4 linked regions of the Saccharomyces cerevisiae S288C genome follow. Changing the gene in region 3 together with the main gene of any one other region gives a genetic interaction. Each region holds a gene or a part of one and is shown on either strand. Other genes may lie near its edges. The genes, in order: GGC1, YAR068W, MIR1 and ALD6.

Region 1 (8,823 bases), on a different chromosome or scaffold from region 3:
TCAACTCGGACAAGGAATATGCGGCTGTGACGAAGGGCCTCAGCAGCTCAAGAGTACAAAAGAAGTCATCTTTAAGGCAGATGAAAAGCAAAGTCAAGGAGCTTCAATCTTTAGTGAATCATTACCGAGAAAATGAAGCCGCTTTAGTGTCTAGCGCCAAGTTATTGTCCGGCGAGATCATAGGCTATGAAATTAAGATGGCTAGTTTACATGGAAAAATGAAAAGTATCCTGGATGAGAACAACGCGTTAAAGGAAACGCACAAGAGCTCTGCTGAAAAGAGAATCGAACTTGTTCGACTTCCCTCTAGCAAAGAAGAACGCAACTACGATGAATACACTTTGCTTGTTAATCTCAAGAAGGAAATCTGCGCCAAGTTACAGGACTACAAAAACGTCCAGAACACGGTGAACACCAAGTTAGATGAGATTCACACGTTCCATGAAAAATACTACGAAGGACTAGAACTAAGTTTAGACAGCAAGGTGTTTGATGCAGAAAGCTCAAAAGAGCTGGCCAAAGTGAGGCGAGAACTGAATAACGTGAGAAAAAATTCCGAAATCAAAGTGAATAACTTGAAAATGCAACTGCTACAAGCAACCAAATCACTGGAGCACTTGAAGAAGCAGGCTAAAGCAAAGGATGACTATCTTAAATGTATTCCTGAGCTGGTCGACAAAGCCAATCTCACGATGTTATCCTACAAGAAAAGCATCGCTAACCAGAGGGAGACTATCGAAGCATTACAAGCAGAACTATCGCAACAATCAGAAACAAAGGGGCAAATAGAAACAGAAACACAAAATCAAGTACAAATCCCCACCAATGTGACTTTGGTGGACCCCTTTGAGGAAAACAATCCAGAGGATTTGTTCGCTATCCAGGAACAGGAATTGCAAGATCTAAGGTTGCATAAGAAAATGGCCGATGAGAGGAGCCGAACTACCCACTTGCATTTAGAAAGAAAAAATAATACCATCAAGCTACTGCAGAGTTACGTGCAATCATTAATTCAACGGCTACCACCAGCCCAGCGCAAACACCATTTGGGCATATTCCAAAAACTTGGTAGCGAAAAATCGTGTCCACTCGCCCCCGCTGTGGCAAGTACATATGCGCCTCTTCTACTCTTATCCCAGCATTCGAACCATCAAGAAATTGACAACACCCCTCAACGGCTTCTATTAGCGGCTCCAGACGGGCAGTCATATTCCGAAAAGAGCACAACACTAAACCTTGATTACTCATCAAGGAAATCCTACTTATCAAGACTACAACCACCACATATAGCCAACCTGAAGTCTTTGACTCTGAAAACTCTGCCAAGGGTGCCCACGGACAGTCCTCAACTTCCTTCAAAAGACAAATCTCAAGAGACTGCAAAGAAAGACGATCGGCCAAAATTGGTGGCAAATGAACCAGTCACACTAGACACATCAACTCCTCCTGTGGCACAAAGCTTGGCGGATTCAAAGCATTGTTCAGGACTACATAAATAAATATAAATACGAAGCGGTAGAGATCACTACGGCATCCGCCTATCTGCAAAGGAAGCTCTATCGCAAACATACCACCGTTAATCTTCGCTGCCACAGTTTCCTTGTAGACCAATGGCATGTAGCACCGCCGCCACTGCCCGAAAAAAAAAGAAAATGAAAATTAAAGAACGATCGCAATTCTTGATAAAGCTCGAGAAAACAAAAACTCGTGAGTCACTGTGCATTTGCTGTCACATTTTCTACAAAGCGACGACATAGATATATAGAGGTGACTATATAAATCGTGTATCTCTTTTGATGGTTAATATTTAGCCTTTAGACATATATCAAACAAAGCATCTTCCAAAGTATTAGAAAAGGGAAATATGCCTCATACCGATAAGAAACAATCAGGATTAGCTCGTCTTTTGGGGTCCGCCTCTGCAGGCATAATGGAAATTGCCGTCTTCCATCCTGTGGACACCATTTCCAAAAGACTGATGTCCAACCACACCAAAATAACCTCTGGCCAGGAATTGAATCGTGTTATTTTTCGTGATCATTTCAGCGAACCTTTGGGCAAACGTTTGTTTACCTTGTTCCCGGGTCTCGGTTACGCTGCATCATACAAAGTTCTTCAAAGAGTGTATAAATATGGTGGTCAGCCTTTTGCTAACGAGTTTTTGAATAAGCACTACAAAAAGGATTTTGATAATCTTTTCGGTGAAAAGACTGGTAAGGCAATGAGATCCGCCGCTGCTGGATCTTTGATTGGTATTGGTGAAATTGTTCTTTTGCCGCTGGACGTGTTGAAGATTAAGAGACAGACCAATCCCGAATCGTTTAAAGGTAGAGGTTTCATCAAGATTTTGAGAGACGAAGGCCTGTTCAACTTATATAGGGGTTGGGGGTGGACGGCTGCCAGAAATGCTCCCGGTTCATTCGCCCTTTTTGGTGGTAATGCATTCGCCAAGGAGTATATCTTGGGTTTGAAAGATTATTCTCAAGCTACTTGGTCCCAAAACTTCATCTCCTCCATCGTCGGTGCTTGCTCCTCTCTGATCGTTTCTGCTCCATTAGATGTCATCAAGACAAGAATTCAAAATAGGAATTTTGATAATCCTGAAAGCGGGTTGAGAATCGTCAAAAACACTCTGAAAAATGAAGGTGTAACTGCGTTTTTCAAGGGCTTAACACCTAAATTACTAACAACGGGTCCAAAACTGGTTTTCTCATTTGCGTTAGCTCAATCTTTGATACCTAGATTCGATAACCTGTTGAGCAAATGAAGTACATGAACTTCTTGTCTATTTTCCTTGGCATTCAGCTTGTGAATATAAAATGTATAACAATATGAGTTTGTACTTTATGTATTATTTCCTGTTTTTTGACTAACTACTTTTTCCAATGTAATAGCTGTATCACCGTACCGAGGTAAGGACGTCAGCCGCGTAGTTCTAAAAAAATAAAGGATTGCTTTGAAGGGCTTCTGGGCCACTTCAGGACAAAAAGAATGAACATAAAGAAGAGCGCTAAATTTAATACTACAGAGGAACCTGTTACTATCTCAGCTTTTTCAAGAAAATGAAACCTCCGTTAAACATGTCACGTTCAAATAAACCACTTACTCAGGAAGCTAATAGTTCGGCGCATATTGATAGGGCACATCAGCTAGCACAGGATTTTAACAGTAAACAGGATGATACCGCACTAACTTCACTGCCCCACAAGAACCCCGACATATTCAGATTTGAGAACAACATCACAGCTCATAGCTCGCGTCGTGGTTCTCTATATAGAGACAGCGATGCTACTGTGGTTTTGCCGCTTTCTGAACATACCCCTAGATTATCAATGGATGATCCATACCGCCAATTACTACAACAGGCTGAAATCTCACAACTACGAAGTAAGAAAAAAAGGCATTCCAGTCGAGTTTTGCGTACTTCGTTTATATCTTTTGTGGTGCTAGTTTCCTCGCTGTCAGGGTTGGACCAAGGCCTCATATCTGGTAACGTTATGACTTTGTCGTTCCAGAAGTATTTTCATTACCCACTTACTTCTCCGCTGGGCAATATAGTGAGCATTGTTAATCTGGGTGCGTTCATGGCGTCGTTATTTGTCTATTCTGGCATCCTGGAGCCTTGTAGCAGGAAAAAAATGCTCCAAATAAGCACAATGATATACTCTTTGGGTGCCATTGTTCAGGTCTTGGCTCTAAACCAATGGTGTTTACTACTGGGTAGATTCTTACTCGGAGTAGGTATGGGCTTTGCCTTTTCTATGGTAATAATTTATCAATTCGAGTTTCCCCTTCCCTGTATAAGAAAACGGACATTAATTTCCATTCAATGCGTCTCTAGTGTCATTGCGTATTCATTCGGAATATGGATTAATTGTGCTTTCAGATATTTGGGCTTTGCATGGAGATACCCTTTGTCAACACATGTGGCACTTGGAATAATACTAAACCTAATGTCGTTCTATCTTATTTTAGAGTCCCCTTCGTGGCTGTTGAAGCAAAAGAACGACGTAGAGGCATTGGTTTTAATATCGAATGTTTTCGATGATGGAAATTTCGAAGAAAACCAAACTCAGTTGAAATTTAGGGTCCTGAAACGAGACATATTATTAAAGTCACACCTTCAAAAAAACTCCTATCCATATGCGTATATCTTAAAGGATTTTTCTTCAATAATAAAATTGTTGATAGGTTTCCAACTTCTCACACGAACAAATGGAGTGGATGCTTTCTTGTATTACTCACCGTTAATATTACAACAAATGGGGAGAGGAGAAAGAAAATCTATCTATTTAACGGGGCTTAATGCTTTAATTTACAGCATCGTAATATTAGCATATGTTCCCTTGGTGTTACGGAAACGTAAAGAGAAAACGAATGTACTCTTAGGTTCGATTGTGATGTGTGCATTGCTATTTACCATATCTTTTACAGACTGGTTTCCCAAGAGCACAACGAGGTATATATCAATACTATTTGCTGTTTTTCTTTTTACGCACTTCATCAGTTGGGATTCTATAGGATGGGTTATGACCATTGAGCTTCTACCTCACTTGTCACAGGCCCCAGTGATACTACTAGTCTCAAACTTTTATTGGATTTTTAAGTGGTTCGTCAGCTTAATAACCCCTATACTTATTGACCGTCTGTCTTGGAAGTTTTATCTTATTCCATCTTTATCTTCCTTTATTTCCATTATATTTGTGCTGAAGATTTTTCCTATAGAAACCCGTGACGAAAGGTTAGATTCTGATGATGATTCTACCGGAAACGGTAGCGGTAACCATGATGATGTTTTTGACGATACCGGTTCTGAATTCTCCTCCTCACCATCTTTTTCCGCGTATCAGATAAACACTCTAGGAAGTAGTATCAAACAAAATAATCAAGCCTATTCATCTATTCAAAATGAGCAGATTCTACCCAAAAACGGAAACTTATCGAACCAGACACACGGTTCTGCACAAAATGTTTATTTCATTACATCTGATTCAGGACCATCAAGGACTGGAGAATTTTTCAGTTTTCATAACAGAACCGATCCAAATATCAGCGACAACATTGCTGCGAATAAACCCAGTTCAGGTGGAGGCCAGAATTCGCCTGGAGACATGGCAGTTGCCTAGTATGGCCTCATAAAAATATTTGCTTCATCCTAAGTATAAATGTTTAGTTTTATCCTACATACATATTCTTATTATAGTCATTAGAAAAAAGGCACGGCGCTATTGGCCTGGCAGGGCATTTAAAATGCGGTGGAAACAAGGAAGATTAATCAAGTAATGATATAGCATATGCACAAAAAAAAAATTGAAAACGGTCGCATTTTTGATCTAAATGGACCAACGATGAAGGAACTGCTTTACTATACATTCATTGAAACTGAAGTGACTGGTGCATTTTTGGTGTTTAGGGAAAAGACTCAAAACCTTGTTTTTGCCTCGTTAGGTAATGATAAGCTTTTTTTATTGGGAAAGGTGGAAGGCTTCTTGAAGAAACATGAGAAACAGGATACAATGTACGATTTACAGGAACTAAAAGAGGCAGAAACATATAAGAAATCAATCGAAAATTATACAATATGTTTAGAAAACAAAATGCCATTACCATCGGGCGCTATTCCCTTTGAGTTCCTGTTTGGAACAGATTTTCAACGTAAAGTTTGGAATGAGCTTTTAAACGTGGAACACGGCCACGTCGTAACATATGGTGATATTGCAAAGAGAATAGGGAAGCCAACTGCCGCAAGATCTGTCGGAAGAGCTTGCGGCTCAAATAACCTGGCATTGTTAGTACCTTGCCATAGAATCGTTGGTAGCAATAGAAAATTAACCGGATATAAATGGAGCTGTAAACTGAAAGAACAGTTATTAAATAATGAAAAGGAAAATAGCTTAAGCCTTAGTAGATTGTAGTTGGATAAAGGATTTTAGGAAAATAAACATAAGAAATAGTTATGTATATGTGGTAAATTGTTCTAGTTATACATCTATGTTACAATATGGCTGGCGTTGGTAATCTTGTGAAACAAGCGACGAACTTGTCACCCTTCTTTCTTTCCACTTTTTTACCTTCTTCTGTGGCATTTCTCATTATTTTCACACATTCATCGTTTTCTTCCCATTCTTTGCTCAACCGTTCAAATAAAGGATGCTCTTCTAAATGTTTTACCATCCACTCATGCAGGTCTTTGACGTCTGTAATTGTGTACACGACACCGCCCTCTTTCAAAACATATGCGTACTCACTCAGCAAGGTGTTAGTGATAATTCTTGCCTTATGCTTTCTTTGTTTGAAATGAGGATCGGGGAAACAAAAAAACATTTTAGAAAGCTGGCCCTTTTCAAAAAAGTTGGGCAAGAATTTCATAGCGTTACCTCTCAAGACATTAATGTTTTGAAATCCATGTTTTGAAGCTGTATTGTTCCTTAAGGCAATAATTCTATCCTCCACGTAATTTGTAACCTGCACACGAATTTCCATCCCTAAGATAAGATCTTCAGGGAAGGCTGGTGATAAATCTATCATCAACCCACCGAATCCACAGCCAATATCAGCAATCGTCACCTTCTTTGTCATTTGTCCATTTTCCGCGTTTTTGTAGTAAGGGTACAATTTGGACCAATCCATATCCTGGGGAGATACTGGGTACTCTAACTGGTGATCTGAAAATGGGTTGGAATGCGCCCTTTGACGATAATATCTCTTCTTTGGCAAGTCGATCTTTTGGCCTTCTTGCACCAAAGAACTTTCATTGATCTTTACATGCTTCAACTCCTTACGATTTTCTTCCTTATTTATACGGTATGCGTAACGCTTGGAGCCTGGATCTTGGCTTAGTGGCTTGGCTTTCATCTTAACAATAAACGCTTGAAAATTTTATCCTATGGGAACTGCTGAATCTATACTAATCCAGCTTTTGTGGCGCTTTAATAAAGTGAAATGTCAGAAATATCCTGAAATTTTTTGCTGAAGTCATCACCAAAATTTTTCATTTTTTTTTTTTTTCAACGGTCGCTGAGATATGTAAAAAGGTAAGAAAGGTAAAAGAAAGGTAATTTTGACGTCAATACATAGACTAAAGTATATTTACCGTTATTGCTTCATTGTCTTTTTATTTTTTGATGATGTATGTACATGATTGAATAGTAAAACCTTTATAAAACTTGTCGAATTACGGGCATTTTCTTTTTACTTTGATCCCTTCGATTCTGCATCTGTAGTTGACTCCACATCCTCTTTAGGTTTTTGGTTGTCATTGTGAGATTTTAGTGTTAAATACAATGCATTTGAACTGTTTTCCAACGTACGAACCAAACCCAACCCACTTAGCATTTGCAAAACGCTGACTAACTGCGACTGCATTTCCGGCTTTGTGGGGAGAGTCTTAAAAGTGTTTATTTTTTCCACATTCAAAACTTCGTTTTCTACTTTTGCACCAATCACCATCAGCTTGTCTTGTGCTGACTGCAGAACCTTCAATAGCTTGGCTACTTGTTGAGGGTTGGTGTCTTCGTATGTAATTGTGGCCGTAGGACCCTTCAGTAGTGGCAAGAGTGGATGTTTCCAGTTTTGCTCTTTACGCTTCACGAATCCACATGGGTCGGGCAGATGCGAATTTCTCAAGTAGACTTCGAACAGGTTGTTTCTTACTTTTGTGAGTTTCCCTCCTGTCTGTTTAATCTTGAATCTGAAATGGTGATCTTCTGTTTTGGAAAGATTATTGTAATGGACAAAAAAAATCATAGAACTGTTCTCCATTAAATGCTTGTATGTATCGATGAGAAACGTCTTCCTCGAGTCCAGCGGCTTTACTGTCTTTCTTGAGGGTTGTTCAGAAGCCAGAGCATAAAATCTCTTATGTACTGTACCAATTGTCTCCTTCAAACCAAAAAAACCATTTCTGGGGACCCATCCAGGCATAAACCTTAGCTGCAACATTATTTATAATCACACTCCGCGCCCAAGCACTTCCAATAAGGTCTAAAGCTTTTGTTTTCCTTACTCTTCAATTGTACTAACCTTCTTTCTTTTCTCAGTTTACTGCTATAACTCTACGTTTTTTTCTGTATGAATCTCTACTAAGCCCTAGGGTTATTAGTGTATAAACGTTAGGTTACACTATGAAAAAGACTTGTTTAATAGGTCATATAGTAAAAAGCTTAGGTTAAGTGCCTTCAAGAACGAAACCTAATTTTAAAATTGACGACTAATTATCAAGTGTATTGAAGATGGCTTGAGATGAACCTTAGCACTGGATGCTATGGCTTGTAGAATAAGCAGATATCCCGGTAATTTAATTTGAGTTGCTCAAATTATATACAAGAACGTGGTAGAGACTGGATTTGGAAGCGTCTCTTTTTATGAAGTAGATTTTAACTCCGTTTTCTTTTCATTTCCTTCTATTCTTTTGTACAGAGTGTACCACCACGTTTTAATACTTTGTTTTAATACAGTAGGCAATGGTTAATCAGGGCCAACCGCAACCTAACCTCTATGACAAACACATTAACATGTTTCCACCAGCAAGGGCGCGGGAGTCCTCGCATAAATTGGGAAATGCCAATTCGGATAGGCATGGTTTGCCAGCTCAAAATATAGTGCCTGCACCCTATCCAGTGGATGACTCTATCGTTGAACTCACACCAGCTATTCCTTTTACATCCCCTTCATCTTCCTCATCATTATCGCTGCCTTTGAGTGCGCTGAATTTCACAGACGGGAATGCTGATGGTGGTCAATTAGGCACTCCAGTAACCATAAATAGTAATAACGGCATGGACATTTTTAATTCCAAGCCAACAGGTGAAATAGGATATGCCA
Region 2 (8,063 bases), on a different chromosome or scaffold from region 3:
CATCTCACCGGTATATGGGTTCAAAACATTGACCGAATTGGCAAGTGTGGTTTCCATTTCTAGGTTTTTGGTGTCACGAATGAAAAATTCGTAGTCATCGTTCAAGAAAGACAATGCTCCGCTGAATTGACCGGTATAGTTACTCAATTTGTACCATGTTGTCATGATACTTTTGGCTTTGCTGACAGTGGGGTATCTTTCACCGTGTCTACCAACCATTTGCACTTGCTTCATTTCACAACTTTCCGGCAAATCACGAGAAATACCATAATCACCAGGGAAAGAGTAGTATGGCCCAGAACCACCCAAAAATGGGAAAATTTCCGTTTGAGTTCCGATTTTGTCAATGTCAGATAACTTTCCGAGGGGTATGGTACCTGCATTAACCAAAGAAGCGGCTAAAATTGAATAAACGGCTGACTTCAACATTGGTATTTCTGATGATGTTCTTGCTCTCTTTGCTGTTGTTGTTCCTCTTCTTCTTCTTCTTCTTCCTACTTTACAACCAAGGCGAAACTGAGCTTGAATCTATCGAAATGTAAGAGCTTATATACGTTTTACTTGGCAATTCGACGCTGTTTATGCTCATTCCAAAACGGGTATAACATATCTGGTGAGATGACCAATTTGGCAATGTGACGTGCGGAATATGGAATCTCTCCGGTAAACAGGGTCTGAAATTCTGTGTAATTTGCCTTTTTAAACCCACGTGTGAACGCCAAGATTGTGCGGCTTCGTTTAGGGATGTGTTCTGTTTTCTATTAACTTTTTACTCTTTCCTTCCTATTTCTTTTTTTTTTTTTTTTTTAGTACACATGAACTACAGAATGTTATGCGAAAACGTGGTAATTTAATAAATACGTGACACAGCGTATAAGAAAAAGCTTATCAAGGTTATCTCTGTCATTAAAACTTTATTAGACACCCACGATGAATGAAACGATGAAAGTAGATATAAGAAGTAGTCGGAAGTGAGAAAGAGAAAATGATAAAAGAACGAAAAAATCCCTTTATTTTCTCATCTTGATGTATAAAATAACTACTATATATTTGTGGCAGAAATCATACCTTTCATTTTTCATCGGCATAGATAATCTTGATTGTTTCACCTTAATACGCTTTTTTCAATGTCGTTTACAAAACAAGCTAGGTTTGCAAGATATCCTGGACTTTTTTTGTAATCTATGTGGCCACAGTATGGTTCGCACTTGCAACATGGTAGAGGCTGCCCAAAAACAAAACCGCATCACCTTTGGCAGCATTTACGTGAAACTCCATCCTCTTGTCAAACTTTGCACAGGAATCGTGTGGGCCCCACGAGTGTGAACCAGTAATTACATGTGCGGCTCTATTGGCATTGTTCATATCTGTAAAAGCAACTCCTGCTCCCAGTACCGTTTCTTTCCGTATTGGAAACGGTCACAGCACCGGTCTTGTAGACAATACCCGAGTTTAGCTAAATGTCACTTGGGCACTTTCTAATGACATTTCCAGCCAAAAGAAGTAATTTTGCTCATTTAAAAAAATAGTTTGCCATATCACAAAACAGTCGGTCGGATAATATCTCCTTCCAACAGTAGGAGAATGGAGGACCACACCCTTGTGGCCATCGTTGTTTTCTTTGGGAATGGTGAACCTTTCCATGTGTCGTTGTCTGTAGAAATGGTGTTCGTGCTGCTTCTTTCATCCACTAGAATTCATGAGGTAGTAGTTCTTATATGTTATAAACTTCAACACGCCACCTGGTCTTGGGGTAATATGAGCAAGAATTTCTCTCTTAAACCGGATATAAGTCTGAGCTTTCTGTTGGATATAATTTCTATAAATGATATATGCATCTACGGTTGCATTGCCCTTACAGTTGTGTTTATTTTATAAATCTACGTTTAGTATAAGAAAATTGTATTGTCGAGTCTTAGCTGAGTTCATATTTATTCAAAAAATTGGCCTAAATGTTATGTCTCTTTCTCGATCCATGAATTATTAGCAACACCGAGAATTGCAGCAGTGATGCTTCACATTAATGCATGTTCCTCCCTGTTGCCTTTTGGTAAAGTCATGGGCATATGATTACTCCGGGCGTCGCGCGGCTGAAGGCGTCTAAAATAAAATGTTCAAAAATGATATTAACTTTCTTATATATCTTAGACCTGCTATTTCTTTCTTCTTTTTTTTTATTTTGTATTCAATTGGTTTTCACTTTCTCGAAACGCAAGGCTTAAATAAATCAAGGACAGATTCGATAGCTTCTTTTGGGACAGTCAGCTCTTCAGAGGTAATTGCATGACTTCATGATTCGCGGAATACGAAATGAAAAGGGAGGTCCGTTTGAGGTAACTCAGTTCTTTACGAATCACATGCAATATTCAGGGTAAAAATCCAAGTTATCTAATTTTTTTTAAACTACCTTTTTCTTTTGTACATCACGTTTCACTATATATTCTACTACATCTATTTTCGGCCCAAAACTACAGCATTTGCAGAAACAAAACGACGCTTTCTGTTCCTGCTGATAGTATTCATGACACATTCCATATTGCATGTTGCATTTAAAACGAAGGGCCAAGCCATGGTCATGTGATTTCCATGTGCGGCAACTTCAAGACTTCTTCTTTTGGGCATAGGAAGACATTAAAAATATTATTTATGCATTATTCTTATGTCGGCTAATAGATTCAAAGAAACCCACGAAAAATTTACCGACCGCGCGAAATAAAAGTAAATGAAAAAAAAAAAAAAAAAAAAAAAAAAAAAAAAAAAAGAAGAATGTGTCTATCTTCATAATGGTGCCTTCGCTAAACCATCTTTTCTGACGCTTTATAGTTCGAACACAGCATTCTTCAACCGCGTAAAGTTAAAATCACTTGAATGTTTACACTGACGTTTATATATTAAAATACTTTCTACTTAGTTATTTTTAGGAAAGTACGGTTACGCACTCATTTTAAAAAAAAGCAAGGATGAAAATACCTGCCAAAGTACTTAAAGCATTGGTTCTCAAACCAGCAGCCATACCTTCGGATTGAACGACAATACCAGTGAAGGTGCTGGAAGCAGCAGTATGAGAAGTTGGAGCAGCAGACTTGGTGACTGTGCTAGTGGCCAATGATGTTTGTTTGGAAGCCTCGGAAGTGACAGTCTTGGTGTTACAGCCGTTGTCGTCACAGTGAGTAACGGTAACAGTAGTGTATGATTTTGGAGAAATGGTGGTTGCTGCAGTTTCTTTAGAACATTCAGAAGTGACAGTCTTGGTGTTACAGCCATTGTTGTCACAGTGAGTAACAGTAACAGTGGTGTATGACTTGGAGGAAACGGTTGCAGTTGCGTCGGTAGCAGTTGGTGCTGGAACATGGCATCCGTTTTCGTCACAAGATGTGATGGTGGCAGTGGTAGATGAGCATGGGACAGTTGTGGTAATGGTGTAAATGTTACCGCTAGCGTCGGTTGTTTCTGAACAGGAAACCACGACTGTACTTGTGGCATTCAAGTAAGTTAATGTAGTAGTGTAGACAGAAGCGGAACCTGAGGTGAAGCTGGTGGCGGATGCAGCGGATGCAGTAGAAGTAGTGGAAGCGGTGGAAGCAGTAGAAGCGATTGAACCAGATGCTGTAGTGGAGTTTGAGACACCAGAGATAGAGGCGCTAGATGAAGGAATTATTGAGTCTGGGGCGCTAGAAGAGATCGTAGAAGAGACGGTGGTAGAAGCGTTAGAGGATAAAGTGACTGAACCAGTGGCAGTAGAGACAACACCAGAGGTAGTGGATGCGGATGTGGATGCGGCGCTTGTAGCGATGACACCGTCATAGTTTAGGTAATATGAGTAGGCGCCTGCGAAGATTCCTTCGGAGACACTGAAGCCAGAACTAGAGAATCCAGTACCAATTTCAAAAGAGAATTGTCTGTTACCTTGGGTTGCAGTTAAGACACCAGTAGTACCGTCGTAAGAAAGAGCAGTGATGTCGGCGGTAATGGCAATTTGGTTCTTACCGGTGTAGCCAACAACAGGAATAGGAGTGGCGTTGGTTTCGGTTGGGTCAACGGCAAGAACACCTTCACCCTTGAATACAACAGTTTGGCCAGTAAAGGTGTCAGGGTAGTGCAAGTATAGGTTACCAGAGACGATGTTGATTGTACCGTTTCCAGAAACTGGTTCAACGATAACATAGGTACTTCCATTGTCTAGGTTGATTTCACCGTTATTTACAGAGCCTTCATCGTCGTCTCTACGTTACAAACCGGAAACAGAACCACCGTTGAGAATAGCATTTGACAAAGAAAAGGTACCAGCGTTAGAGTATGGAGAAAAGGTGACTTCACCCTTCTTGGCCTTTGACAAACTCAAAGAAATGTCACCGCTGCTCTTGAACGAGCTAGGTGTGAATGAATAGATAGATGCGGAGACAGCGCCAGTTTCTTCAGCACTGAAGTTACCGGAAACTTCAAAAGTCTCACCAGAAACGTCGAACGCGGTACCTTCGTAGCTTGCTTCAGACTTTTCGACAACCAAATCACCGTGAACTTTTAGATCAGATGAGAAGACGTATTTTTCACCGTCAAGTAAAGTCAACTTACCACCGGCAGCGACTTCCACGGCCTCGGTTGCAATTACTTTACCAGTAACTGTGAGATCACCGCTAATTGTTGTGGATGGCAAATAAACGGTACCGTCACTGGAAGAAAGTGAGTCGGAAGCGGTGGCACTTGCACTAGCTGACGAGACGGAAGTGATAGAACTCAAGTCTGCGGAGGAGGTGCTATTGGTGTAAGAGTCACCGAGAGCGCCGCGAGAGAGTAGGGCCAAAGCGACAGCAGCTTGGAATTTGTTAAAACGATTGAACATCTCTTTTTTTTTTGTAATGGGCGAGAGTTTACCAATAAAAAGAAAGAAATAGTAAAGCTTGCAAAGATGAAAACTTGGACTGCTATTATGAGAACAAGAGTGAATATGACGATCCAGTGACAATGAAGCATATTGAAGTACGATTTACCTGCTTTTTATATACTTCTTCTTGTTACTACTCACGGACTCCTAACCCATAGCTATAGAGCCCGAAGCTACAGAGACCGATGGTGTGCTAGATCAGAATTTTTGTGCATGCATTTCTACGAAGAACATTCTCAAGCCCTGTAAGGCTTGTACGCGCGCGTTTGCCAACAGGGAACGAGGTGCTAATTTGCAGACCAACACATAAGCAATTGGCCAAAACAACAACAACAACAATAACAATAGCAGCAGCAGCAGCAGAACGCGATTCAGCCTGGCCAGATTATTGTAGAAGAGGCACGCGAAAACAAGAGCGGGGAAGGGGCAAGATTGTTTGTTACGTGGGCAGACGCTCAGCTACTTTCTATACAATCCCTACTCTGTGAGGTGCTTATTCAAGCAATGATCTATAACTTTGGCTCAGAACAGATCATACGCCAAAAACAGAAAAGAAAAAGATAGCTATGTCCTAATGGAAGAGACAAGAAATCTTTGCGGCTACCCTCGAGAGAGTTAGTGCACGGTTTCTCCGTAGCCGCGAAATGCTTCTTTTCTGTCCCTGAAGCGCACGGCTGCGTAATCTCACTGCGACGCGGACGGCAATTGTTTTCCCCGGAGACGTGGCTGACAAAAGTCCCTGTGAAAGAAGGCGCTCGCTCTCTTCCGTGGGTCCCTGCTATATAACTACAGCAAAAATCAATCAACATCCTATTCCTGACGAGAATTACTCCGTCTCGTTAAAGAATATCTTTCCAGCGTTTTCTAAGGAAACGCGCAATGTCGCTCGAACTACAAAGACTGAACCTTTGGGTTCCATTATAAATTCTTGAACTTGTTTCATACCCATATATAAGCGGTGCAAAAGACAAAAGGGAAAAACAAAAAAAAAATGAAGAAAAACGGACAAACGGATAACCGGCACCTTCTGTACCACTACATCGCCCGTTTTCGCCAGCATTTCATCAGCACAGATTAGATAGTGTATTCCTACCTCCAACTATCTTATGCTTGGTTTGAATATTTTGGCCCAGTTTCTCAGGTCTTGCTTCCAGGCGCACCCAAAATGTGGTCTTGGTGTGATTGTCGTCACCTTGCCATCCTCTCTCAAATAACGTGGTTCTTGGTAATCTTCTAGACACTTTCCATAGTTTCAAGTCACGTGCGAATTGGCATGTTGCAGAGATTTAGATGGCTATATTTCCTCAAGTTAGCGCATTTGGCTTACTTGATCAGGCGCTTACGAGCTACATTTACGCCTGTCTGTATAATTTTGTTTCTTGACGATGGGATTCTCATAAGAAAGTCCAGATTTGTTCGCAAGGTTAGACACTTTTAGCAGCTAGTGCGTGGTACTTGTAGAATTGCGAACCGGGCATTACAAAACAAGCCCTTTTTTAGCGCTGTCAAGAGCAGAAACTGTAAGTATGCCAGAGTTAGTTGCCGCCCCAATGCTCTTTTCCTGGGCCAATTCGAGAAGTTGAACAGCTTTGGATATTACTGATAAAGAGATGTTTGCCTTGGGGGGCTACTACGGTAATAAGCGTCTTGTCGCTAATGACATGCCAGCAATCACTAAGATTGTTTCGCTCTCAGAAGAACCAGAGGTGGAACTACTGGTTTGAATGACGGATGATTTAGATGATTCAGAGAATATAGAAGTGGAGGTCGTTGCAGAAGAAGAAATGACCGAGGAAGACATGACTGAGGAAGAAACTACAGAAGTTCCATTGCTGCGATAGAATGGAGTAATAATTGGATGCTAAGACGTGATAGAGCTGGTGATTTGTTCTGAAGAAGATGATGACAAACTGGATGAGGTGGCAGTGGTTGGAGCTTTGGCAACAATAACGGTTTCGTCAGTTGGTTGACCATTAGTACCGGTGACGGTGGTCATTTCAGTAGATGTAGAAGTAAAAGTACCAGTCCACAGTTCGGTAGTAGTTGTGACGATGCTAGTAGTATGTTTTGAAGGATCAGGGATAGTACAATTTGACTGACTTAAATCATCGTCAAAAGAGTAAACGTACCCTTCAAAGTCATCACTAACAGTAGTACCATCAGGCAATTCCACGCTAATTGGAAGCGTGCCCCAGGAAACGGCATTGGAGTAAACAACCTTCAGCGGATAATAGTAGCCTGCATACATGTAGACAGTCCCTCCGATGTTATCAGGCAAACTTCCTTGCCATGGCTTAATACCATTGATTGTAAAATCCGTCGATGTAATTGGAGGTTGTTCTTGTGCACAACATTCGAACGCAACGTTACCACCGACTGATAGAATTGCAGAGTCATCGACCTTAGCAAACCTGAACGTGTAAGAACTTGTTTGTGGTGGTAAAAAGTAACCTGTCATTTCTAGAGTAGCGTTTTTTGGGATAGTAAGAAACCAAGTAAATCAGTACTCCAATAGGTCTTTCTTGGCTATTTTGAACATTCACTATGACCTCTGCATCCCCAGTTTCCATAAGCATCTGATTGAGCACATTTAAAAGTTCCTGAAGAGATAACACAAGAAAGATCGTAGTCAATTGAGAAATCCGTCTGTCCGCCAACGGAACCTAATTCCAATTCGAGGCATATCCAGAAGTCATATATTGCGGGTAGGAATACGTTGTTGAATCCAGTAATGAGTATTTATAAAAGTTGACATTCATCCCATTTTTCCTCGGGCCCACTGGCAGGCATGCTTGTGTACTTCCTGAAACAACATTGGACGTGGCCAGGTAGGTGAAGAGTGCCAAAAATAAATAGTGATAAGGCATTTCTTGGTTCGTCAATCAGGTATGGGTATATTAAACAATAACTTTTAGCCATGCTGTTAATGATGAAAATTTTGATGCTGGTCTCTTCATATGTCATTGTTTTGGGAACTGTCTTTTTTCGATCAGATGTATGCGCTACGATTTGTTTAGCGTAGTGATGTTCCTGCGCTGTATTTAGGAAATTTTGGTATCGAAACGTCCCTACAACACTTTTTGTCGCTGATATCTGCACATGCGAGTAACGCCGATTCCATTACATTATTACCTTCCACTTCCCAGAAACGATTTATTACGACTCAACAAGTTCAAGAAAA
Region 3 (4,012 bases):
GTATTCGCGAATATTACATACCGATTCCAAATGGTAAAGAAATTCACGATGTTCTCTTGGCATGTATTTTTTCATTTCGTCCAGATAATTGATCTTGCTGTCTCCTTGGGAAGAATGCGCAGCATTCGCAGTGTGTTTCACACCCAAAAGGATGTCCAGTGTCTGTATCAACGAGCTTTGCGCATTGGACCCGCCAGAAAAGATCCGATACTGTCCTTCCGCTCCATACCTAACACCCTGTGGTAACCCCATATGCGACATATTCGTCCACCCGGCCAAAAATGGTCTTATCTTGAAATAAAATACATTGGGTTCACACTTAAGCTCCATTTCCATCAAGGCTTTCGATAACCTTTCGATCGTTGCAGCCAAGCCCTCCAACCCGTCTATCACGTTAGCGTCTCCTTTATCACCGCTTCTAATGGCTCTCAATATCTGCAACCCATGGTTTAAACAAGCGCTGCCGATTTTTTCAAACCGCACGCTGACCAGATAAAACCAACTTTCGTCAACGGTTCCCGTAAATGTGTTTATCGTTGTAATATTTTCCAAGTCCAAACACCCGGTTTCCGTTTTCTTGCACTCGTCGGTCACTTTGAAGTTCCATAACACCAACGAGGAGTACGTAGCTAACGGTGGCACACCCAAAATATGTGCTGTCTCCAACAGTGGCCTTGCAATACACTCCGGTAATACATCCCGGGGAGTTCCGCTGGCCCAAATATAAGCGTGCGCCATAAACCCCAAAATGGAATATGCTCTTCTGAGCTCCCTGACGTCGCCCAAGATCGTCTCATCCAAGTCCAAGACATCCAGCCCATCGATGACGCTCCGCACCTTGTTATCCTCTTGCAAAAGAGAGGGCAGGTCAGCAACGATTTCTTCCCATTTCATATATTTCTTGCTGCTCAGTCTGGTCAAGGGTAACCGGTCGTCCAAAAACCCATGATGTGGCGAGATACAGTATTTTTCTAGCACTGGTAGTGGTCTCATTTTTGTTCTATGTAGTACTTGTGGTCCGGTTATGGAAGTGTTGTTCATATCGGCGTTGACTCTTTCTTTTATTTTCGCTTTATATATGCTAAAGATACATGGACATCTAGTGTGTGTGACAGTAATTATTTCTGACGGTGGCTTTTTTGCCTCGGAGCGACGTTGAAAAGTGACAGCGTCAGCCCATAGAGAAAAAAAATAAAAAAAGGCCGCTACCGATATGTTTTCATTACGACAATTAAGCAGCACAAGTGTCTGGCGCAATGCCTGACTACTGGGAAAAGTCGAAGCATTTGCACGGCGTCCATTACGATGGTTAAGGCAGTTTACGACGAATTGCGGAGTCAAGTTTTAATATTTATAGATAGCCCTGTCACCAGTATCGGGTGTTGTTTCTACCCAAGCGCCTGCCAGCCTCAAACAATACAACAGGTATTGTTTTTGGACAGCGGAATGCTGCGATGCAACAGTATCGCAGCATGGTACTGCTTTCCTCTAGTCTTTTGTCGAATGTGAGCAAGCAGCAGCTGAGACTCTGCCCAACCATCGTTAGCCAATCAGCGTCGAGAACGGGTCCCATGCCCGGCCGCGGCCCGTTTCGAGAAGATTTTTAAGTGCGATCCATCCTCCCGATCTTTTTATCTACAAGAACCATCGCAAAGAACAGAGTGATCTGCAAGAAGAAGAACTACAAAGATCAAAAAGTCTCATCTCACCATGTCTGTGTCTGCTGCTCCTGCTATTCCACAGTACTCTGTCTCTGACTACATGAAATTCGCCCTAGCCGGCGCCATAGGGTGCGGGTCGACTCACTCCAGTATGGTCCCGATCGATGTCGTTAAGACGAGAATCCAACTGGAACCTACCGTGTACAACAAGGGTATGGTCGGCTCTTTCAAGCAAATCATCGCCGGAGAAGGTGCTGGTGCGTTGTTGACCGGGTTTGGTCCTACTTTGTTGGGTTACTCTATCCAAGGTGCCTTCAAGTTCGGTGGTTACGAAGTGTTCAAGAAGTTCTTCATTGACAACTTGGGTTACGATACCGCCTCTCGCTACAAGAACTCTGTTTACATGGGTTCTGCTGCCATGGCCGAATTCTTGGCAGACATTGCCTTGTGTCCCCTAGAAGCCACTAGAATCAGATTGGTCTCCCAACCACAGTTCGCTAATGGACTCGTCGGAGGGTTTTCCAGAATTTTGAAAGAAGAAGGTATCGGCTCTTTCTACAGTGGGTTCACTCCAATTTTGTTCAAGCAAATTCCTTACAACATTGCTAAATTCTTGGTCTTTGAACGTGCCTCCGAGTTCTACTACGGGTTCGCCGGTCCAAAAGAAAAATTGTCCTCTACTTCCACTACTTTGTTGAATTTGCTTTCCGGTTTGACTGCTGGTTTGGCCGCTGCCATTGTTTCCCAGCCAGCAGACACTCTGTTGTCCAAGGTCAACAAGACTAAGAAGGCTCCTGGCCAATCCACAGTCGGTTTGTTGGCTCAGTTGGCCAAACAGTTAGGATTTTTCGGTTCCTTTGCTGGGTTGCCTACTCGTTTGGTCATGGTTGGTACCTTGACCTCCTTGCAATTTGGTATTTATGGTTCTTTAAAGAGCACTTTGGGTTGCCCACCAACCATTGAAATTGGTGGTGGTGGTCATTAGAAATGGTCTTGATTGATACATGCATATATATTCTCTCCTCATCACCACCGGAGCCCCTTTTTTTTTTCATATTCTAAGAAAGAGTCAACAAAGGAAAGAAATAAATAAATCTGTTTAAATGTACTCTATTCAATCACTAGTATTCTTATTCCATGTATTTACTGACTTTGCAAAAGTCCAAATATCTGTAAATTAACATGCTATTATAAATATATATATATATATATATTTGAATTTTCTATTTTTTCATCTACAAAAGCAGGTTATAGCTCCGTTAAACCCTTTGCTCATTGAATTGTCCTTCACGGTTTTTTGGTGGAAAACACAACATGGAACATAACATTTAAACATCGTTCTCAATCCATTTCATCGCAGTAACATATTTGGTCGGGCACATACGGACACGTATATGTTATACAGATAAATATAGCTTAAATATGGCTATATTTACACAACACAATGCTCGTGGGTCGTTACCCGACCATGCAGGATCGCCAGTATTCTTTATTTTTCCGCCTTCTAACATAAAGAAAAATAAACAAAAAAGTATTTGATCGAAAAGTAAAATAGGTAGACACCACGTATTGGCGACCCGATCTGGAGCCGTTTAGAAAGTCAATCATCACAAGGCCTAAAGTTGCTAACCACCAGCCATGTCCGGAATAATTGACGCATCTTCTGCATTAAGAAAAAGAAAGCATTTGAAAAGAGGTATAACCTTCACTGTGATGATCGTGGGCCAGTCCGGATCTGGTAGATCGACTTTTATAAATACTTTGTGCGGTCAGCAAGTTGTAGACACTTCGACGACAATCTTGTTACCCACAGATACGTCCACAGAAATAGACTTACAATTGAGAGAGGAGACGGTCGAATTAGAAGATGATGAAGGTGTCAAGATTCAACTTAATATCATCGATACTCCGGGATTCGGTGATTCTCTCGACAATTCTCCATCTTTCGAAATCATTTCCGACTACATTCGCCACCAATATGATGAAATCTTATTGGAAGAAAGTCGTGTGAGAAGAAACCCAAGATTTAAGGACGGCAGAGTTCATTGTTGTCTTTACTTAATCAACCCAACTGGCCACGGTTTAAAAGAGATTGATGTGGAATTCATCAGACAGTTGGGATCCTTAGTTAACATCATCCCTGTGATCAGCAAATCAGATTCCTTGACAAGAGATGAACTGAAACTGAATAAAAAATTGATCATGGAGGATATCGACAGATGGAACTTGCCAATTTATAATTTCCCTTTCGATGAAGATGAAATATCAGACGAAGATTACGAAACCAATATGTACCTACGTACACTTCTACCTTTTGCTATTATTGGATCCAATGAAGTTTACGAAATGGG
Region 4 (9,416 bases), on a different chromosome or scaffold from region 3:
CTTTAAATCACAATCATATTAAGATATTCTTAATGATTGCAAACAACAGAAATATGTTTATGAAGACCCTGGATATCAATCATGCATTCCTATATGCTAAATTGGAAGAAGAAATATACATCCCACATCCGCATGATAGGAGATGTGTAGTCAAGCTAAATAAGGCGTTATATGGTCTAAAACAGAGTCCTAAAGAATGGAATGATCATCTAAGACAATACTTGAATGGAATTGGACTGAAAGATAACTCTTATACTCCGGGATTATACCAAACCGAGGATAAAAATCTAATGATTGCAGTCTATGTTGATGACTGCGTAATTGCGGCAAGCAATGAACAGAGATTGGATGAATTCATAAACAAATTGAAAAGTAATTTTGAACTGAAAATTACAGGAACATTAATAGATGATGTACTCGATACAGATATATTAGGAATGGATCTAGTATACAACAAAAGACTTGGTACTATCGATTTAACATTAAAATCATTCATAAATAGAATGGATAAAAAATACAACGAGGAATTGAAAAAGATTAGAAAAAGTTCAATTCCGCATATGTCAACTTATAAAATAGATCCTAAGAAAGACGTACTGCAAATGTCAGAAGAAGAGTTTAGACAAGGTGTTCTAAAGCTACAACAATTACTAGGTGAACTAAACTATGTCAGACACAAATGCAGATACGACATTAATTTTGCTGTTAAGAAAGTGGCTAGACTAGTAAATTACCCACATGAAAGAGTCTTTTATATGATTTACAAAATAATCCAGTACTTGGTTCGGTATAAAGATATTGGAATACACTATGACCGAGACTGTAATAAAGACAAGAAGGTTATTGCTATAACTGATGCATCAGTTGGATCAGAATATGATGCTCAATCAAGGATTGGAGTTATATTATGGTACGGTATGAATATTTTTAATGTTTATTCTAACAAGAGCACAAACAGATGTGTATCATCAACAGAAGCAGAGCTTCATGCCATTTATGAAGGCTATGCAGACTCAGAAACGTTGAAGGTAACATTAAAGGAGCTAGGAGAAGGAGACAATAATGACATTGTCATGATCACTGACTCAAAGCCAGCCATTCAAGGATTAAATCGCAGCTATCAACAACCAAAAGAGAAATTCACTTGGATAAAAACTGAAATAATAAAAGAAAAAATTAAAGAGAAGAGTATAAAACTGTTAAAAATTACCGGCAAAGGTAATATTGCTGATTTACTAACAAAACCAGTATCAGCATCTGATTTTAAAAGATTTATACAAGTATTAAAAAATAAAATAACATCACAGGATATTTTGGCCTCAACAGACTATTGATAATTAATTAATGAAGTTCTAAACACACAATGAATATCTGTTGAAGTACAATAATATATCTTTAAGGGAGCATGTTGGAACGAGAGTAATTAATAGTGACATGAGTTGCTATGGTAACAATCTAATGCTTACATCGTATATTAATGTACAACTCGTATACGTTTAAGTGTGATTGCGCCTATTGCAGAAGGAATGTTAAACGAGAAGCTCAGACAATACTGAAGCTGTGTTAAAGACCTATTAGTTGAACATGATATGGTAGGTACATATATGAGGAATATGAGTCGTCACATCAATGTATAGTAACTACCGGAACCACTATTATATTGGTCATGATTAATATGACCAATCGGCGTGTGTTTTATATACCTCTCTTATTTAGTATAAGAAGATCAGTACTCACTTCTTCATTAATACTAATTTTTTACCTCTAATTATCAACATTGATAATAAATTTGCTCATGTCATGGCCCACAAGTTTTTATCCCACAATGAAACATTTTATTATAGCTAAATACGTCATTCTAAACTTAAGAAACCATCTCTATGTGTGAAACGCATGAATTATATAAAATAACTACTGAAATATCTTTGTTACTGATGAGAAATAGATGAATCGTAGATAACTGTGAGGATTCCGTTGTTGTTAAAGACTATAATATCAGGTATACAGAAAATGTTAGAAGTTCTCTTCGAGAATATAGAAATCGACAAAAGGGGTCGGCAGTTTTACATAAATAATTTATGGAATAAATTCAACTATCGTCTATCAACTAGTAGTCATACTACCAGTATATTATCACATACAGTGTAAGAAGATAACATAAGGGATGAGAAACTGTCATCGAAGTTCGAGTAAGTTGAAATTCAACGATTAATGCAACGATTGATAATATAGCAGGATAATGAAACATATAAAACGGAAGGAGGAATAATAGTAATATTATTTGTAGAAAAATCGATTCCCCTTTGAAAATTTCTATATCCTCGAGGAGAACTTCTAGTATATTCTATATACCTAATATTATTGCCTTTATCAACAATTAAATCTCAACAATTATCTCAAAATTCATCAATTTCTCAATGATATCATTTTTTCTTCCTTCTTTTTATACTTTGTGATTCATTATCCTATTATATAATCAATCCTTTCATTTCACTTTCATTAAACTTGATGACTGTTTCTCAATCCTTATCTCATCTTCTTACACCGTATATGATAATATACTGCTAATATTTCTAGTAGTCAGCATGATATTTGATTTTCACCAATCAACCACAAGTCCTGACAGGAAGTTATTATTTAACCACATTACTGTTGCGTGGATAAGTGTTATTATTCTATTGCCTTAAAACTATACAACAAAAGCTCGTATGGCGCAGTGGTAGCGCAGCAGATTGCAAATCTGTTGGTCCTTAGTTCGATCCTGAGTGCGAGCTTTCTTTTTTTCCAAAGAATTTTAATTATATACGTTCGCCTGTACGGCTTTTTATATACTTAAAAAAGTGAAAGTTGTTCTTATTCATTTGAATGCGTATTAAAAAGATTGATTGACTCTTCGTGATAACTATTTCTTCAACAGTTCGTGAACGGAATCTGTTTTTATTTTACTCAATAATGTCATACGTTGTAATTTATGCAAATGTCTGATTCCCTTCGCATAGAGCCAAACAGTAGATATTAACCCCAAAATGGTGACAGTTAAATACGCATAATTACTTTCTTCTATGAAACTTTCCAGATTCATACCATAGATAGAACCCAGGAATAGAGCGCCTCCCAACGAAAGCATTCCTATGGCGTATCTTATCCCTAACAGCATTAATTCGTTTCTGTTAGAATCTAGGATTATATTGATGATTTCTTCTGTGGTTTTCACGTCAGATATGGCGCTTTCGCTTTTCTGAACTATTTCATCGACATAGTTATGATATGTTTCCAGAAGCATTTCAATTTCAGTATGATCATCTTGAACTCTAATTTTTCCAGCCTTTTTGTCGGTTAAGTACATATCACAAAGCATATCGTCTTGCTCTAGCAAGTCATCCAGCATATCTTTAACTAGAACAGCCTTTTTATTGAAGCTGCTCAATTTTTTGTTTTGACCCAGTAAGAACCTTAATTTATCTCTTGTTATACTAAATTCTAGATCTTGAAGCACCCCCTTGCATATGGTTAGCAACACCTTCATTTCACTGGTAAGGTTAGATAATGCCGAAATGAAGATCGTTTCTAAAGCTCTGAATTCATAAGGAAGTGGATCGCTATTTAGCTCGCTTGTTTCTTGATTTTTTAGTCTCAATTTCATATCGTTAATAAAATCCTTGTGAGCTTCTGAGTTTAAAGTTATTCCACTGCCGGCTGAATCGAAGATAATAACCATATCAGGCTTAATTAGGGCTTTCACAGTAAGTAAACTGATTAGTATGGAATTTTCTCGCACGAGCAAACTAGGGACTAAGTCATTCTTCCTTGATTTTTCAATTTTACGTAGATCTCTGGGCAACAAGCCATGTTTTGATACTAGATCCTCACGTTTTATCTCTACTAATGGTGATTTGGCTCGTCCAGTTGAGTCTAGCAAAGTACATCGTATTGTCCCTGATCCATACCCATAGAGCATGTTGTTTCTTTGGATCAAGTTTTTCTGTAGTAGCATTGCAGCGGTATTGTCAGGGTCCACCTTAGGCATTTGCCTAGAGAAATCAAAAGAAGAAAGTGATGAACCAAAAAGCCTTACTGTTCGAAGAAGGATGTTATTATATGATCTCTGATGGCGAAATGGCAGTACTCGGGGGAATGCTCTCATGTGTACCTTTTGATTGGAATTGGTTCGCAGTGTTTATGTTATATTAGCTCAATGTGCTCCCTGTATTTTATATATGAAACAAGTCTTTGTATTGCTATTTTTTTCAAACCTTTTTCTCAACTCTAAAAGCGGTCCACGTTAGTTTTCTTTGGATATAGCAGTTGTTGTACACTAGCTTAAGATGTAAAATTCAATTCAATATGATTTTGTGTGGGATGTTTTAAAGAAGGCACAAGCCTGTTCTCTCTTTTTCTCTTTTTTCATGGATTGTATCGCTTAAAAGGGAGAAATGAAGTAAACGATTCTTTTTGTAAAAATATAAAACCAAATTTTTTAATTTATATGTATACATATTTATTTATGACGTAAGACCAAGTAAGTTTATATGAAAGTATTTTGTGTATATGACGGAAAGAAATGCAGGTTGGTACATTACAACTTAATTCTGACAGCTTTTACTTCAGTGTATGCATGGTAGACTTCTTCACCCATTTCTCTACCGTAACCAGATTGCTTAACACCACCGAATGGAACTCTGGAGTCAAAATCGTTGTATGTGTTGATCCAGACGGTACCGGCCTTCAACATCTTGGCCACCTTCAAACCTGTGCTCAAAGATTCTGTTTCGATACCAGAACCTAGACCGAATTCAGAGCTGTTAGCCATTTCGACACCTTCTTCTAAAGTCTTGAACTTTGCGACAGTGACAACTGGTCCAAAAATTTCTTCCTTAACAATTCTCATGTCTTCATTAACATCGTAGAAAACGGTTGGTCTGATGAAGTAACCCTTGTCACCAACTTTTTCGCCACCAGTTAAGATCTTGGCGCCTTCTTTCTTACCGATATCGATGTAGTTCATAATTGTGTCGAATTGTTGACGGTTAGTGATAGCACCTTGGAAGTTAGCCTTGTCAAATGGATTACCAACTTTGATTTCGGTTTCCAAGTAAGCCTTGAAAGCAGCCAATAGTTCGTCGTAAATACCTTCTTGAACGTAAATTCTAGAACCAGAGGAACAAATTTGACCAGCGTTCTTGAAAATACCGTTTACTAGATTTGGTAAAGTCTTCTTAATGTTAGCATCGTCAAAGACCAAATGGGCGGACTTACCACCTAGTTCCAAAGTGATTTTCTTCAAGTTAGATTCAGAAGAGTCGACAGCAACACTCTTACCGACTTCTGTAGAACCGGTAAAAGCCAGCTTTCTGATTCTTGGGTCGTTGGTCAAAGCAGCACCAACAGTTCTACCAGGACCTGGAACGATGTTGACGACACCAGCTGGAATACCAACCTTCTTACATAAAGAAGCAAAGTATAGGGCATTTAAAGGTGTGACAGCAGCGGGTTTCAAGATACAGACGTTACCCATGGCCAATGCTGGGGCGATCTTCCAAGCCAACATCATTATTGGAAAGTTCCATGGAATAATTTGACCACAGACACCGATTGGCTCTAAGGTGGTGAAGTTCATGTAGCCGTCACCGGTGTTGATTGTTCTACCGTTGACTTTGTCGGCATAGGCAGCAGCATCTCTTAGACAGTTGATTGCAATGGTAACATCCCCACGGGCTAAGGCCAAAGTTTTACCATTGTCCAAAGCTTCAATGGAAGAAACCAAGTCAATTTGGCTTTCCAATTCGTCAGCCAACTTACTTAGTAGACGGCCTCTTTCTCTTGGGTCTTGGGTAGCCCATTCAGTGTCGTGGAAAGCACGGTCGGCACATTCGATAGCATATTCAACATCTTCAGTGGTGGCAGAAGAGACCTCACAAACGGTGTTTTCAGTGGAAGGATCTTCGACGGGATAGGTCTTACCGTCTTGAGCTTTCATAAACTTGTTGTTAATGAATAGACCGGTTGGTTGCTCGTATGTCAAACCATTTGGAAGTGTGATCTTGACTGGTTCAGCAGTGTCAAAGTGTAGCTTAGTCATTGTATTCTGATAGTATGTGTTTGTGTATGTTAAAGATGTTTCTTGATGTTTTTTCTTCTATAAAACAAGAGAAGTAAAAGACTGAACACTTCGAATTGAATATTACCAAACTTCTTATTACATTTATATATGATATCAAGAACTTGTTAAACACGCCAGGCTTGACCTCGAACGGTGTTTTGATGTGTTACTCAACCGTTAAATCGCTGTTTGAGCTGACTAACAAGGTTGCTTGTCTTGAATCCCCCTCACCCCGAATTTATTACGAATTTGCCCACATGGTCGGTGCTATATCGCATTCGTTGCACTCACCGTTCCCAAGAGGAGATCAATGTTACATACGTTCCCGATGCCCAAAACGGTAAAGTTAAAGCGATATAGAAGCTGGATGCATATCTTTTTACACGTCCGCGGCGCGCCCACCCTCTTTTTTCTTTCTGGTTCCTTTTCGGTCGTTTTTCTTTTGTCGGCTGCCTTATTCCCGTGGGGATGAGGCGAGCGCCGTTTCGGCTTGGATACGCCATATGCAACAATGACGTCTCGGTGCTGGCCATGCCCCTCATTTATGTCGAAAAACAGGCCACTGCCCCTCTTTTCTGCGGCCCGGGCAAGAGGAGACCTCATCAGCCACGGCGACGTGCTGGTTGCTTCTACAATGGTATCTTCACCTTTTACATAATCCAATTCTATCATGCCCTTACGTGAGGGGCAGTGTCGTATGTGACGGCAGTTCCTGACCTGATAGTGTGTCTATTTGTCTGTTAGCGTCCGCGGAAAGTTGTGAGTACGGTTTTTAGTTTAGTTTCCACCCGGGATTATACTTTTGGCTACCCTGACTGGAAGGCGGCGGCCTTATATTCGAATGAACATGCCAGGCATTGTACGAATTGAAACTTTTTTCGTATGACGTTACGAATAATTCCATTCGGCCTAAATATTCTTTTTTTTTGGATTTTTATGCTAGTGAAGGAATATGAGATATGCAAAGCGCATCAGATCATTAGGTGTGTCTACATCGTTAAAATTTAACATAGAAAAAATAAATAGGCGTGTTTGTACGTAGTATGGTGATGTTAGGAGGTGCAGTGGTAGTAAGTTAGCAATATACATAAGTTTTATTCACATGACAGTAACAAAATGAGGGTGTGGGGAGTGTACAGGTACATTTACATACACACATAGATACGTAGATACATGAGAAGAGGGTTTACATGAAAATTATTTGGATTCAGCAATCTTCTTCTTTTTCTTTTCCTCTTCAAATAAGGCGTCTACCTCCTTCTGCTTCTCCAATTGTATTTTCATTTGTTCTTCTGGCGAAGGCAAGTTACCTTCAACATAGTCTTTCAGCGTAAATGTTTGCCCGCCCATTTGCTCCTGCTGTATTCTAATTTTTTCCTTTTCTTCCTCAATCATCTTCATGAACATTAAATAGTTCTTTTGTCCTTCTTCATGAATCAAATCGAGCGGGAACTTGGTGCTGCCGCCCAGGGAATTTCCGAGACCTAGTGCCGTCATTGCCCAGTTGCCACCAGATTTATGATCTCCGTAAAATTTATCCTTCAATTTTTTCACACGATGATCAAATTCTTCTGCTAGGTTCTTCTTGTCTTCAAAGCTGTTCAAGATTGGTCTAACATCCTTGGTTTGTTGAGTGGCAAGGTACTCCAAAAATGGAATCAATCTTACTAATTTGTCATCAGCTTCACCATTCCATGGCTCCATTGGAATAGCATTTTCAGGTTGCAATTTGTAACTGTTAGGGTCAGTGTCAATAATGATTACTTTACTCAAATCTCTATTCAATTTTGACAGATCCTTAATGTGCACACCGTCTTTGTAAACACAGTGTTCCTTGAACAAATTATAAGATACGAATGCATGGATTGGATCTAATTTTTCAGCGATTTTGTCAGAGTACATCATATAGTTGGATGAAAACAAAACAATTTCGTAATACTGCGATAGGTAACCCAAGAAGTAGTCAGCACCAGGTCTTTTGGCCGTTCTCCAACCATGCTTTTGAGACCACTCAGAATGAACCAAAAAATCTTCCAATGTGATAACAAGAGTTAATGGCCTTTGGTACGGTGGTGGTGGTGGTGGAGGTAGTAAATCAGGGAAAGGTGGCTCTTGGAAGTAGGTGAACATTGAGTTGAACCTGGCCTTGAATCTTTTATACATAAGTGATAAAGTGTAGCCATTATCGATGTCTTTCTTCAATTCTTCAGACTCTTGAGGCTCCCAATCCCTTGCCATGTAGATTGCAGTACCTGTCAACGCAGACAACGAAAAAATGTAAAACCAGTTAGCATACTTTTCTCTTTTAATATCTGTAGAAGTTTGTCTTTTTCTTCTAGATTTTTCACTTTTGGAAGAAGGTTCATTCTTGTCCTCTCCTCCTTCTCCTGATGTTTCCTCGTTTTTGCCTTGGCCCTTCTCATCGACGTCAACACCGGCCTTGAACAGCATATCATCTGTAAGAATGGATTTAGGCTTGTCGTCTTTTGTTTCTTTTTGTAAAAAACTTGAATAACTTGTTAAAAGTCTTCTGGATGCTTGAACCGATGTTAAGGTGTTGGCGGCAGATGGCACAACCCTAAGAGCCCTTGAATTTAGTCTCACCGAATTTCTTAAAATGGACAGCATTGCAAGCGGGTGATTTTTGGAAGTTTATTCTAGCTGTGATGTGCTAAAGCAAAAAATCAGTTATGCGCCAAAAGCTAATCACGAAATTGAGTGGATGCTAGAAATTACCGTTCCGATTAATCCTGACGTTATGTTCGTTTGCTGAATATATCTCACTTTACTGAAAGAACTTCCAATTTTTTTTTTTTCCTTTTCCGCTGTAAAGCGTCTGAAGAGAAAAAAAGGTTCAAAATGTCCTGAGAATAATTTATTGAATAATTTATTATTCAAAGCGTATTACAGGAAACATGTATGATGAGTTTTAAACCAAAGTAAGAATGCTATGTCCAGTAATATAGAACCTCAGACAACAGCTAAATGTATACTGTATACAACAAAGGGGAACATTGCCATTGAATTATGGGCTAAAGAATGCCCTGAGACATGTAAGAGGTTCTTATCTATGCTCTCAGATGGCACATTCACCAATGGAGAATTTAAAGAGTTAAAGCCAACACAGTGGCTAATGTTTAATGCAAATAGTACTGGTGAGTACCGTACAGTTGCTGAGGAAAAAAATCCTCGTATACGCTTCAATAGAGATGGACTCTTGGGATGGGATAGACGAAGGAACACATGGTTTATAACTGTGCTGGCGGATTCTAAGCACGTACTGAACGATTGTAATGTATTTGGCAAAATTGTTGGG

Evidence for each region.
Region 1: of MIR1 (region 3) and GGC1, changing one enhances a phenotype caused by changing the other (phenotypic enhancement), as found in Saccharomyces cerevisiae (one study listed by BioGRID).
Region 2: mutations in MIR1 (region 3) and YAR068W together harm fitness less than expected from each alone (positive genetic interaction), as found in Saccharomyces cerevisiae (one large-scale study listed by BioGRID).
Region 4: mutations in MIR1 (region 3) and ALD6 together harm fitness more than expected from each alone (negative genetic interaction), as found in Saccharomyces cerevisiae (2 studies listed by BioGRID).

Annotation. Positions count from the first base shown.
Region 1 is NC_001136.10:97,593-106,415, reverse strand, and holds GGC1 (Ggc1p), read left to right. Parts: upstream 1-1,864; coding exon 1,865-2,767; downstream 2,768-8,823. Other genes in the region: ASF2 (Asf2p), read left to right, coding at 1-1,499; YDL199C (uncharacterized protein), read left to right, coding at 3,063-5,126; MGT1 (methylated-DNA--protein-cysteine methyltransferase), read left to right, coding at 5,349-5,915; TRM8 (tRNA (guanine46-N7)-methyltransferase), read right to left, coding at 5,995-6,855; mitochondrial 54S ribosomal protein uL10m MRPL11, read right to left, coding at 7,192-7,941; ACK1 (Ack1p), read left to right, coding at 8,463-8,823. UniProt on the Saccharomyces cerevisiae protein: Mitochondrial GTP/GDP transporter required for GTP uptake and GDP exit from mitochondria. Involved in mitochondrial iron transport and essential for mitochondrial genome maintenance.
Region 2 is NC_001133.9:217,826-225,888, reverse strand, and holds YAR068W (uncharacterized protein), read right to left. Parts: upstream 3,484-8,063; coding exon 2,998-3,483; downstream 1-2,997. Other genes in the region: acid phosphatase PHO11, read right to left, coding at 1-429; YAR066W (uncharacterized protein), read right to left, coding at 4,229-4,840; YAR064W (uncharacterized protein), read right to left, coding at 5,392-5,691.
Region 3 is NC_001142.9:575,889-579,900, reverse strand, and holds MIR1 (Mir1p), read left to right. Parts: upstream 1-1,710; coding exon 1,711-2,646; downstream 2,647-4,012. Other genes in the region: dioxygenase BNA2, read right to left, coding at 1-1,041; septin CDC11, read left to right, coding at 3,300-4,012.
Region 4 is NC_001148.4:429,251-438,666, reverse strand, and holds ALD6 (aldehyde dehydrogenase (NADP(+)) ALD6), read right to left. Parts: upstream 6,080-9,416; coding exon 4,577-6,079; downstream 1-4,576. Other genes in the region: MFM1 (Mfm1p), read right to left, coding at 2,903-4,144; YPL062W (uncharacterized protein), read right to left, coding at 6,368-6,772; protein translocase subunit TIM50, read right to left, coding at 7,298-8,728; putative peptidylprolyl isomerase CWC27, read left to right, coding at 9,051-9,416.